Arabidopsis thaliana: one gene and its partner. The protein of the gene in region 1 interacts with the protein of each later gene in a pairwise test. Each region holds a gene or a part of one and is shown in the gene's direction. Other genes may lie near its edges.

Region 1 (5,706 bases):
TCGTGAACCTCATTGAAGTTGAACTGCAAAACCTGCGAACAAATAGGCGAGAAACAGAACATGATATACCACTATGGAGAGGAAAAATGACTGCTACAGAAAGAATTTTGTATCCAAGGAGACGTGGCTGCAGATTCGTTCAACAAGGCCAGAGATGCAGGACTACAAAGCGATATGGTTCTCGGATGCAACTCCGAAGTATGCGTTTGTCACTTGGTTGGTGGTGAAGAATAGAATTGCAACAGGGAGAGAATGCTGAAATGGAACAAAAACGTGGGTACTAGCTGTCTTCTCTGCAACTATCCTTTGGAGACAAGAGAACATTTATTTTTCCAATGCCCTTATTCGAGAACGGTGTGGAGTGAACTGGCGGGAAGACTACTAGCTAGCAAATATACGGACAATTGGCTAGATATCATGAAGGAGTTAGTGAGTAAAGATCTTGACGCCACTACAAGGATTGTGCTTCGGTATGTGTTTCAAAACACGATACATTCTATATGGAGAGAGAGAAATGAGAGAAGACATGGAGAGACGCGCCATCGAGGACGGAGAAGATAATCAGGCTAATCGACAAAAACATAAGGAATCGATTAAGCACGCTAAGGGTGAGAGGTGAAGAGAAGTACCCAAGAGGAATCCAAGTGTGGTTTGCTTCAAGGCAAGATCAAAATCAAGGATAGATAAGATACACATTTGATCTATTTTTTTTAAAAAAGTTTGCATTTATATGTATAAACAGTTTATTTTTCTTTGAATATAATTTAACATTAAATTTTTTAAAAAAAAATGCCTATGTTGCCTACTCTTAGAGAAGCGCATAATGTATCTTTGGACTTTCGACAAGACCAAAAGTTCGACTCACACGATGTTTTTATAACAAATTTTAACCAAAACGACGTTGTTTTATAATATATATGATGTTATATAGTCTGTTAAAGTTGAGTCTTATATTGCAGCCTTTGCAGGTGGAGAATAAATTTACCAAAAAAATTAAAAGTTGTGAATATTTATTTGCAATTTTTCTTCGCTTTAGAAGTTTTTAAAAATTAGTATTATTAAACCGTAGTATTATTGAAAAATAATACTTTTTAGTTTTTAAAAAATGTTTCACACATGCAAGAATTTGAAGAAAAATCCGACTGCTAACCAAAATACTAAAATAGCGAATTAAACATGGGACTCATAACTTTTGTATTAAATGACTAAACTAAAAAAGATGCAATTGAAAGAAAATGAATTGCATGTTTAATTGGTTGCACCAAAAAGTTTGTTTGGTGATAGGAAATAACTGATGATATAAATTTTCACAAAATGACGACCGCTCCACCATAGTAACTACTCAAAATTTGTCAGTGATAATGAGCATGACAAACATGATTTATAAAGACACGGCGAGTCCCCAACACCTGCAGCTCAACTAATCAAGTTTCTTGATATATGATACGCAACAAATTATCTTCAGTCCGTCGTCGGGATCCACACAAATACGAGGATGGACTTCGGTTATGGTTCGCCTCTAGGAACTAGTTGTTTCAATCTCTTTACAAATCTTTTCTCAAAATAACATTTAAAATAAGGTTGCATTCATTGTACAAAGGTTTTTTGGTTGAATAAATTTTAAATTCATTCAAAAAAAAACATGATTTATAATCATGGAACTATAGTTACTATTTTAAAAAGTAATAAAGAACTACATGGTTATCCAAAGACGTGCGTCCCTTAATCATTGCATGTTTTTTCAATTTTTATCTTTTGTCTCAAAAGTTATTTTGTTAAAAATGTAATGAAATTGTTATCCTAGATATACTCATGTTACAGACCACACGATCGTAAGCTTGTTAGTTAAAAAAAAAAACACTATTATGCCTACTTTATTAAAAAAAATCTAAGAGTCCACTCAAAAGTCAAAACACTCCAAACTCGCCTACCAAAAAAAAAAAAAATCACTCCAAACTTAAAATCCACTAAAATGAACCAAAATGCTTAGTACAAGATATCATCTTAATTGCAATCGAACTACCTAATGCATTTGATTCAATATCTTGTTTCTTTTAAGTTTTAACTATCCACAAAGCCATGACTTGGGAATGTGATTGATCGATAAAACTTTTTCATTTGATTCAATATCATTTTACTAACTATTCGGTTATTTTAAAAAGTTCGGTTCGGATGCGGTTTTGTTTTTACGGTTCGGTTCATTCGGTTATTTGCTTACCGATTTTTCTGCAAGAGAGCGCGTTTCGTTTGTCTCCGCAAACGATGGGACAAAGTGGGTTAAGTCTGAGGTTGTTTCTTCGACTTGTCTCTCTAGTCTCTATACCAACAACACTCAACGAGACAAGACCATCATCATCACTCACTTCCTTCCTTCCTTCAAATCTCAACTAAATCAATAGACATTCCTCTCTTTGTCTCTCTCTATCCAAATTTGAACTGTAACTGTCTTCAAAATCTTCATTTTTCTCAGACAAATTGGATCTCTCCTTGGAGCAGAAACACCCATTAAAGGAACAATAGAGAGAGTTTTGGATTGAATAATCACAGTTCCACAGGTTTCCTTCCACTCTCATTATCTTAAATTTCACTTAAAGGTCGAAACTTTTGGTCCACTGGTTTCATTATCTTCTTTTAAACACATCAATTTGTTTAGGATTTAACTTGTGATTTTGAATTGGTTTTACTACTTCTCCTCTCTCGATTTAGCAAGTTAAAAGCTTTTTTTTTTTTAGTGTTCTTGAGGGTTTTAGGGTACAATTTTGTTTCCTCAGGACTGGGTTTTGCTTTCTTGTTTCATATGTGTTTTATTGTTCTTGATGAATTCATTGTACATTATAAAATATTGTCTCAGCTATTGGTACACAGTTTTCTTTCTCCCTGGGAATTGTTTGTTAATTTTTAATAGAGTACTAATAAAAGATTAGAAAATCTGTGGTTACTTTAGAGAGCTGTGGATTCTACTTGTTTGTTTGTTTCTTCTTATTGGATTAGTTATGGAGCAAAGTAAAAGCCTTGTTCATTTTCTTTGTTCATATGTAATAAAAACAACTAGTGATATACAAGTGTTCTTGGAAAATCTTGAATGAAACAGCTTTGAAGAAGACTGAGGTTTATCTTCCTCTCTGTTGAAAAAATAGAAGACTGCAGTGGCTACAATGCCTGCGTCACATGAAGCTTCAAATTACGATGAGGTTTCTATGCAGCAAAGTATGCTCTTCTCTGATGGTCTTCAGGTAGATTCTGAATTTGCAAAATATTGCCTAGTTTCTGATAAATTGTTCAAATCTCCATCTGACTTAGAAGGACAATGCTATAATACCAAGCACATACTATCTTTCTATATGTGAAACCGATGACAAAAGTAAAATGATAATTAATGGTCTCTGTGATTGAAGATCCAAGTGTTGTTACAATGCTGAATCATATCTTGTTTTCTAAAATCTTTGTAGGTTTATTTGACAATTAATTGAAAGGTTTTCTGCTCTTTTATTTCCTCAGGACTTGAAGAATCTGCGAGCGCAGTTGTATTCAGCAGCCGAGTATTTCGAACTATCTTACACAACCGATGATAAAAAGCAGATGTGAGTTAGTATTAAGCAGCGCTTCAGATTTATTGTGTCACAAAAAATTTCTTGGTTTTTCTCAGTAGTTGTTTCTCATGTTAAGTGCAGTGTTGTAGAGACACTGAAAGACTACGCTGTGAAGGCTCTGGTGAATACAGTTGACCATTTAGGCTCTGTTACATATAAAGTGAATGACTTTATCGATGAAAAAGTCGATGAAGTATCAGAGACCGAGCTGCGAGTATCTTGCATCGAACAGGTATAAAAAAGCTCCTAAAAACTTGTATTTATCCGTGAAGGTTTCTTTTTGGGGTTACTAAGTTGTAATTTTGTGTTTATGTTGGGAAAAATAACAATGGGATGGTGGTTAGAGGCTAAGAATGTGCCAAGAGTATATGGATCATGAAGGGCGTTCACAGCAATCACTTGTTATTGACACTCCAAAGTTCCATAAACGATACATCTTACCCGGTAAATTCTCTCTTTCTCGCACTCGGGTTAGAAATTTTCGATACTCACTAAGATGCAATCTTTATCAGCGGGTGAAATTATGACTGCTACAAATCTTGAAAAGCTTAAGTACTTTGGAAGCAGTTTAGAGGATGCAGATGATTGGAACCAATTCCGAAATGGTGAGTTTGTATCTTCTATGTTTCTGTTGTACACAATCCAAGATTCAAGATTTCTTACTAACTGATTGGTTTGCTCTTTTATAGCTGTTCGTGCTACAATCCGGGAAACGCCTCCACCACCTGTTAGGTAAATTATCCAAACGCTTGCTCAAGAAATAACACAACACACATTTTCAAACACAAGAACAAAACAATGAGACCTGATTGTCTTTGCAGAAAATCAACATCTCAGAGTTCATCTCCACGGCAACCACCTCAACGATCAGCAACCTTTTCGTTTACCTCTACCATTCCAAAGAAAGAACAAGGTAAACACCACAATCGCTTGGTTTTTTTCCGCTCGATACTCGATCCTTTATACATGTTTTCGTGTGATATAATCAGATAAGAGATCAGTTTCACCGCATCGGTTTCCACTACTAAGATCTGGATCAGTCGCTACCAGGAAGTCAGCATCAATCAGCCGACCAACGACACCAAGCAAGAGCAGATCTATAACTCCTATACGGGTATAAAAAGCTTCCATTGGAACAAAACTCCACCAGAAAATGTGTTTCATCAATTTACCTCTTCTTGATTCTTCTTCTTTTGCATTTTCCAGTATCCATCAGAACCAAGAAGATCGGCTTCGGTCCGAGTCGCATTCGAGAAAGATAACCAGAAAGAAACAGAGCAGCAACAACCGAGCAAGAGCAAACGATTGCTCAAGGCTTTGCTTAGTCGACGCAAAACCAAGAAAGATGACACTCTCTACACTTTCTTGGACGAATACTGAAATGCCAATACCGGTTTTTATTTGTGCAAGCGCTTTACTAAACCGGAAAATTGTGGATTTCCTATTTTTTCTTTTATTTTTCTATATTATATTTTATAATATAAATACACAAACTATACCAAAACATCGAATTTTTACCCATACAAAAGTCATAATCATGATTCGTGTTGTTATGAGATATAAAATTTCACGATCTGTACATCTTCTCGATTTGATATACTATGGTCATAGATTCGATCATTAGCACCAAAGGGATATATATTATATATATTAGACATATACATATTAACATATATAAGAGAAAAATTTAACATAATACATTTACAACCAATCGTAAATGCTACGTTGCATGTCTATTGACACCCATCGGGACATGCTTTGTTTTTCGGATATACGACATGCATGACGGGCTCTTGGTGTATCTGCATCACATGCCGAAGAAACAAGAAAGTGAGGATGTTCAAAATTTTATTCATTTGTAGGTGGAACTTTGTTACGAAGAAAGAGATCGAATGAAAAAAAAAATGTTTGAGTTTCGTAACTTATAAATAATCTTATGGTTCAGTCAAATATATGGTAATCTAATGGTAAAAAACAATGTTGAGTTTCACAAAAACATGTGTCAAGTAGAGATTCCTTTTCTTTTTTTTTGGCAAGTAGAGTTTGGTTGATTGAATATAAAGTAGCTATAATATCCAGAAAAGCTTACATTAAGGATCCTTTTTTTTTTTTTTTT
Region 2 (4,909 bases), on another chromosome or scaffold:
TCCCTCTCAACATAAATACCTGTGTTCATCTTTTTATATTTTACTAAATTAAAAGGGATACTTTTAACGGAAACCCAAATGATCATCAGATATTATAATACAAATAAAGAAAAGATTCCATTCCTCGAAAGTGTTTATTTGTTATGCAGTATTCAACAATCTGAGTGAACAAGATTTTATGTACTATAAGCTGAGGAATAGCAGTTTACGAGTTCTCACCGAGATGAGATGACCCCGAGGCCGATGCGGATGACGAAGAGGATGAAGAGAATAATCCGCTGAACGGCCATGGAAAAGAGAACCTTCTCTCGCTCACATTACTGTTCCTTGCATCATCTTCCACATTCTCATTACTTACGTTGATCTCTAGAGTTCTTGTTCTCGGTCTTACAGGATTAACCTTGGTCTCATCATCAGGAGGGAGTTCATATCGGCACACGGGACATGAACTGTGAAGCTCGAGCCACGGTACTATACACCGGATGTGAAACTTGTGCTTACACGGCATCTCTTTAGCTTCACTTCCTTTGTCAAAATCATCCAAACAAATCGAGCACTGCAATGATTCACTTATCTTAACCGTTGGGAGATTATCCACAACTTCTTTACGTGCTGGAAGACTCCCGTGCCTGATTGAATCATTATCAGCTAGATGTTCAAGCAAATGGTCTAAACTGGATCCAACAAAGTAATCTCCAATTGCAGAAAGAGAAGTATTGTTCCGGTTTTGATTCAAACTCGTTGAACCCTGAACAACAGCTGATTGATTTAACAGGTCTCGATCCGAGCTCTCATACTCAGAAGCAATCCCTGCACGAATACCCTGAAGCAACTGCAATATAGTAGCTGAGCTTCTCCGTCTCCTCCTAAGGATAGACTCAAACTCTCTGTCTAAATCAATCTCTCTACCTTGTTGCCTGTGGCGATGACGACGATGATGATGTCGATCAATATCGACGCTGTCATTTCCATCAACATCATCAGATACATTGACCTCATCATTATCCACACCAAACTCTGTCCTCCTAAACCTTCTACGTCTACGAGGATTACTCATCATTCCAAGCAAGATTGGACCCCATAGAGACAATGCACGGTCTGTACCAAAATCAATCTCAGGGTCTTGAACCTCCCTTAGACTGCTACTGCTGCCGCCATTAATCTCACGGCTCATTTCCTCGACAAACCCGCTTTGGCAAAAGGGGCATTTGATCTCGGCACCAATAACTGGATTCACCATTTGTGAACACATGTGACACCAATACCTAGCTGACATTGCCTCTTCCTCCTTCTTTCCTTCCCCACCCAAACCTCTCGTTTCTGAAACAACCAGAAGAACAACAAAAAAAAAAACATGAAGAAGCAAACCTATAAAGTTTCGACCTTTGTTTCATCAGATCTAAATAAAGAGAATGGTATTCCCAAAAGTTTCACTAAAAAGAGGATAATATCATCTTCACCAACATCATTAGCTCAAGTTTCAGACAACAAAACGCAAGCTTTCTATGCAAATGCGAATAAACAGATCAACCAAAATTTGCCTCTATAAAGAGATAACAATAGAAATCAGGGCTAATCCATGAAAAGAAAACTCTCAATTCTCATGGAGTAATTAAAACAAAACAAATACAAAAACAAACCTTGTAAATGTTCTTACTTTTGGAGATCCAGAGGGAAGAAATGTCTTCCTCCTTCTTTTAGATCTCCACGAAGATAAATGAGAGCTTTTTTATTTGTCTTCTTCTGCAGAAATGGTGGGAGACGAAGAAAAGAGGAATGAAGGAGGAAAGGAAGACGAAGATGAAGACGAAGAAAAGGGAATGTAATGTATAGTTCGCAGACCCAATCTTAAAGCCCATTAACCGCAAACTGATATATAAAGGAGCCGGGTCTATCTTAACCATTTAAAACCAACTTCTAATTTGGAATCAAATTGAACCGAATCGAACCGGTTGAAGTTGAAAGAAGGAGAAAAGGCGTTGTCTCCGTGCGAGAAAGGCAAATCGGAGACGATGAGCGAAACCGAAGCAACCGGCGTTACCGATGATTCGGCTCCAGCGATTGAGACTGAAACTGTTTCTGATGCGATGGAGCATACAGCGATCGGAGTGGTTGAATCGGTGGAAGGAGCCATAGAAGGAGCAGAGAAATGGGTGGGTGATTTGCAACGGACGGTGAAGGAATCGAAGGATACCGCAATGCGTTCTGCTCGTTCCCTCCGTGAAAATTCTACCTCTCAGTTCCGCTCTATACAGGTTAGTTAATCTCTCTTTTGTTCACCAAACAATTTTTGCGAATCGAGATTGTTTACCAAAAAACATTTTCAGGATTTCAAACCATGGATATGGTGGAATTTAGTATCTCGTAAGCTATAATTTCTAGAAATGAGCTCGATTCAGAACAGATATTTCTCCAATTAGCAGTTTTATGTATTGAATGGTGCTAGTTTTTGTTCATATGGGTAAAATCTTGTTGAATCATACCATTATAACTTATTGGCAATGATCTTAGTCTCTTCCTGGGTTCTGATTCTGCTTCAAATGGTTGTTTAGAAGACTGTAATGTATCGCTGAGGCATTCTTGATTATTCTCTAAACAATGTTTTTATATGATATCAGATATTCATGTAGCTTAATGATGTGTGATATGGAGTAGACCCTATCTGGCTGAAATCACAGTTCCATTAGATGTATGTATATGTCTTCGTCTTCTCTCATACAATCTTACATTTGATTCTGAAATTGCAGGATTTCATTCCACATGCTTTGACTCAGTATAAGACCTATGAGAATGCTTTCTTCAGTAAAGTTACAGGTATCTTGCAGCCAATTTTCGTGAAAAAGTTATACTGGTAGACTACTGTAATGCTTAGGAACGAGTATTTTAGATCAAACTGAGATATAACAGATAGCTGCCACAAAACTTTTATATATACTTGTAGTGCATCTTATAGTGTTCTGAAACTAGAATCTTCATGTCATTCCGATTAATCAATCCTCGTATCCTCTGCTGCTTTTGTTATCCTCGCAGACGAATTGATATACGCAAAAGAGCATCCGGCTGCTGCTATTGGGATTGGTGTCGCTGCTAGTCTCGTTCTGATGCGAGGTATAACCTCTACTCTCTTATCACTTTTACAACTTACAAGATTCCTTCCCGTAGGAGCATCCAAATGGTATTACATCTGTTTTACTTATATGTGTCTTGTATGAATTTGGTTTTCTATTGTTCGACTTACAGGCCCAAGAAGATTCTTGTTTCGTAATACACTAGGCCGATTTCAGAGCGAAGAGGTATATACTATACCAGCTTCAAATTTATTTCTTAACGTTGTTATGCTTAGTTGCCCTGGTCTGTGTCCCTTCCCTTATTTTTACATCCACTTCAAAATCATCGTCGCTTCAGGCACAATTCTTGAAAGCTGAGAAGCATGTTCAGGAGTTAAACATGTCTGTAGACTTGATGAAAAAGGAGAGCAGGAAATTGCTTGAGAGGACGGCTTTAGCAGAGAAGGATATGAAACGTGGTCTCTCTGAGCTCATGTATGCCCCAACATGGACGCTCCCACTTCTTTTATTAAGTTATTGACATCATTTATGTTAATATGGGTACTACTGTTATATCTATAGGAACTCTGGAAACGATATACATCGTCTTGCTAAGTCCGTCCACAAAGCTGAATGTGAAGCTGCTGGTAATCTTGAACAAGATTTATTTTTACTCACTTCTCCCTTCTCCCTTCAAATGGTATCTTTGATAATGCCACTACGTCAGATTTCAACTTACACAAAGAGTTCTATTCGCTGCAGATTTGATGGACGGACTTCGGCAAATTCCTGGAAGGGATGCTATCAAGCTTAGAGCTGAAGTGAGTCTGACTTTTTTCTTCTCGCCCATTGTTTGAGCTTCATTGCTATGAACGTCTCATTAAATTCTTTTGTCGTAAATCATTAGGTGGCTTCCATGACTTCGCTTTTGAGACAGAAGAGGATTGCATTGAACAAAAGGATCATGGGTATGTCGGACCTAGGAGTTTCCGTCTGATATATCCAACACAAATCCACAATTTCTTGGGTTTTCGCAACCAAAGTTTGTTAGGTATTTTCCAATTGAATCGCAGTGTACTCTCGTCCATCGAACATCCAACTCTGTCTGAAACCAAAATCTGAGCTTGAGACAGAACTTGTATACTGTGTTTTTGCCTGCTTCCTAAGATTTCTCGCTCAGAGAGAATTAATTGAGTCACAAAAATGTGTGTGCTTGGTTTGGAAATCCTTAATTATGTAGTCTAGAAGATTTATGAGAAACATAGAAAGTTACTGAATCAATCAGTAATGAAAATTTATAGATAACATGAAGGTTTTTAATGGGCTAGTTTTGCATCGTAAGTCTATGGGAGACGGGCTGTGGGCCATCCACCCATGCGACTAGGCGACCCAACTGCTCCGATTGGTCTAGTAATGTTAAACCCTCCAGACGAGCAAGAAGCTTCAGTCGTCGGACCGGTCCGACCATTAACGTCCAGAGTCCGTTCTCTCCTCCTTAGACGCTCCCTCTTGAGCAGAGTCCCTAACTTATCTTTTCCCGATTTTCCCTTGTCCGGAACAGGTATCATCTCCAGACCCATCAGCTTTGCAACAACCCCCGTCTTGCACCATACCACACTCTCTCCGGCCACTGTCCGTGGCAGGCGTTTTGTCTCCAAGCTCATCTGGCTCGATCTCTTTGATGTCCGTTGATCCCCGCAGTGGGATCTCCGCCCACCCTGTATCGTCATGTCAGCACTGGTGCCAAGATGGCGCCGGAAGGATGACCGGTACATAGCGTCCTTACCGTCCAGTGAGAAACGTGGGTACTGATTCAACGCGTTCCTTGCTGACCTTAACGGCAGACAAACAGAAGTTGATAT

What was found.
Region 2: the proteins of ABIL2 (region 1) and AT4G26410 interact in a two-hybrid assay, tested with the Arabidopsis thaliana proteins (one large-scale study listed by BioGRID).

Annotation. Positions count from the first base shown.
Region 1 is NC_003074.8:18,270,252-18,275,957, forward strand, and holds ABIL2 (ABL interactor-like protein 2), read left to right. Parts: upstream 1-2,031; 5' UTR 2,032-2,555; intron 2,556-3,091; 5' UTR 3,092-3,155; coding exon 3,156-3,233; intron 3,234-3,498; coding exon 3,499-3,581; intron 3,582-3,671; coding exon 3,672-3,822; intron 3,823-3,934; coding exon 3,935-4,034; intron 4,035-4,102; coding exon 4,103-4,195; intron 4,196-4,279; coding exon 4,280-4,322; intron 4,323-4,411; coding exon 4,412-4,503; intron 4,504-4,579; coding exon 4,580-4,704; intron 4,705-4,796; coding exon 4,797-4,970; 3' UTR 4,971-5,191; downstream 5,192-5,706. UniProt on the Arabidopsis thaliana protein: Involved in regulation of actin and microtubule organization. Part of a WAVE complex that activates the Arp2/3 complex.
Region 2 is NC_003075.7:13,344,748-13,349,656, forward strand, and holds AT4G26410 (chromosome-associated kinesin), read left to right. Parts: upstream 1-1,906; 5' UTR 1,907-2,012; coding exon 2,013-2,255; intron 2,256-2,747; coding exon 2,748-2,814; intron 2,815-3,030; coding exon 3,031-3,108; intron 3,109-3,240; coding exon 3,241-3,293; intron 3,294-3,405; coding exon 3,406-3,542; intron 3,543-3,629; coding exon 3,630-3,694; intron 3,695-3,809; coding exon 3,810-3,868; intron 3,869-3,954; coding exon 3,955-4,044; 3' UTR 4,045-4,390; downstream 4,391-4,909. Other genes in the region: AT4G26400 (RING/U-box superfamily protein), read right to left, coding at 206-1,276; AT4G26415 (uncharacterized protein), read right to left, coding at 4,391-4,880.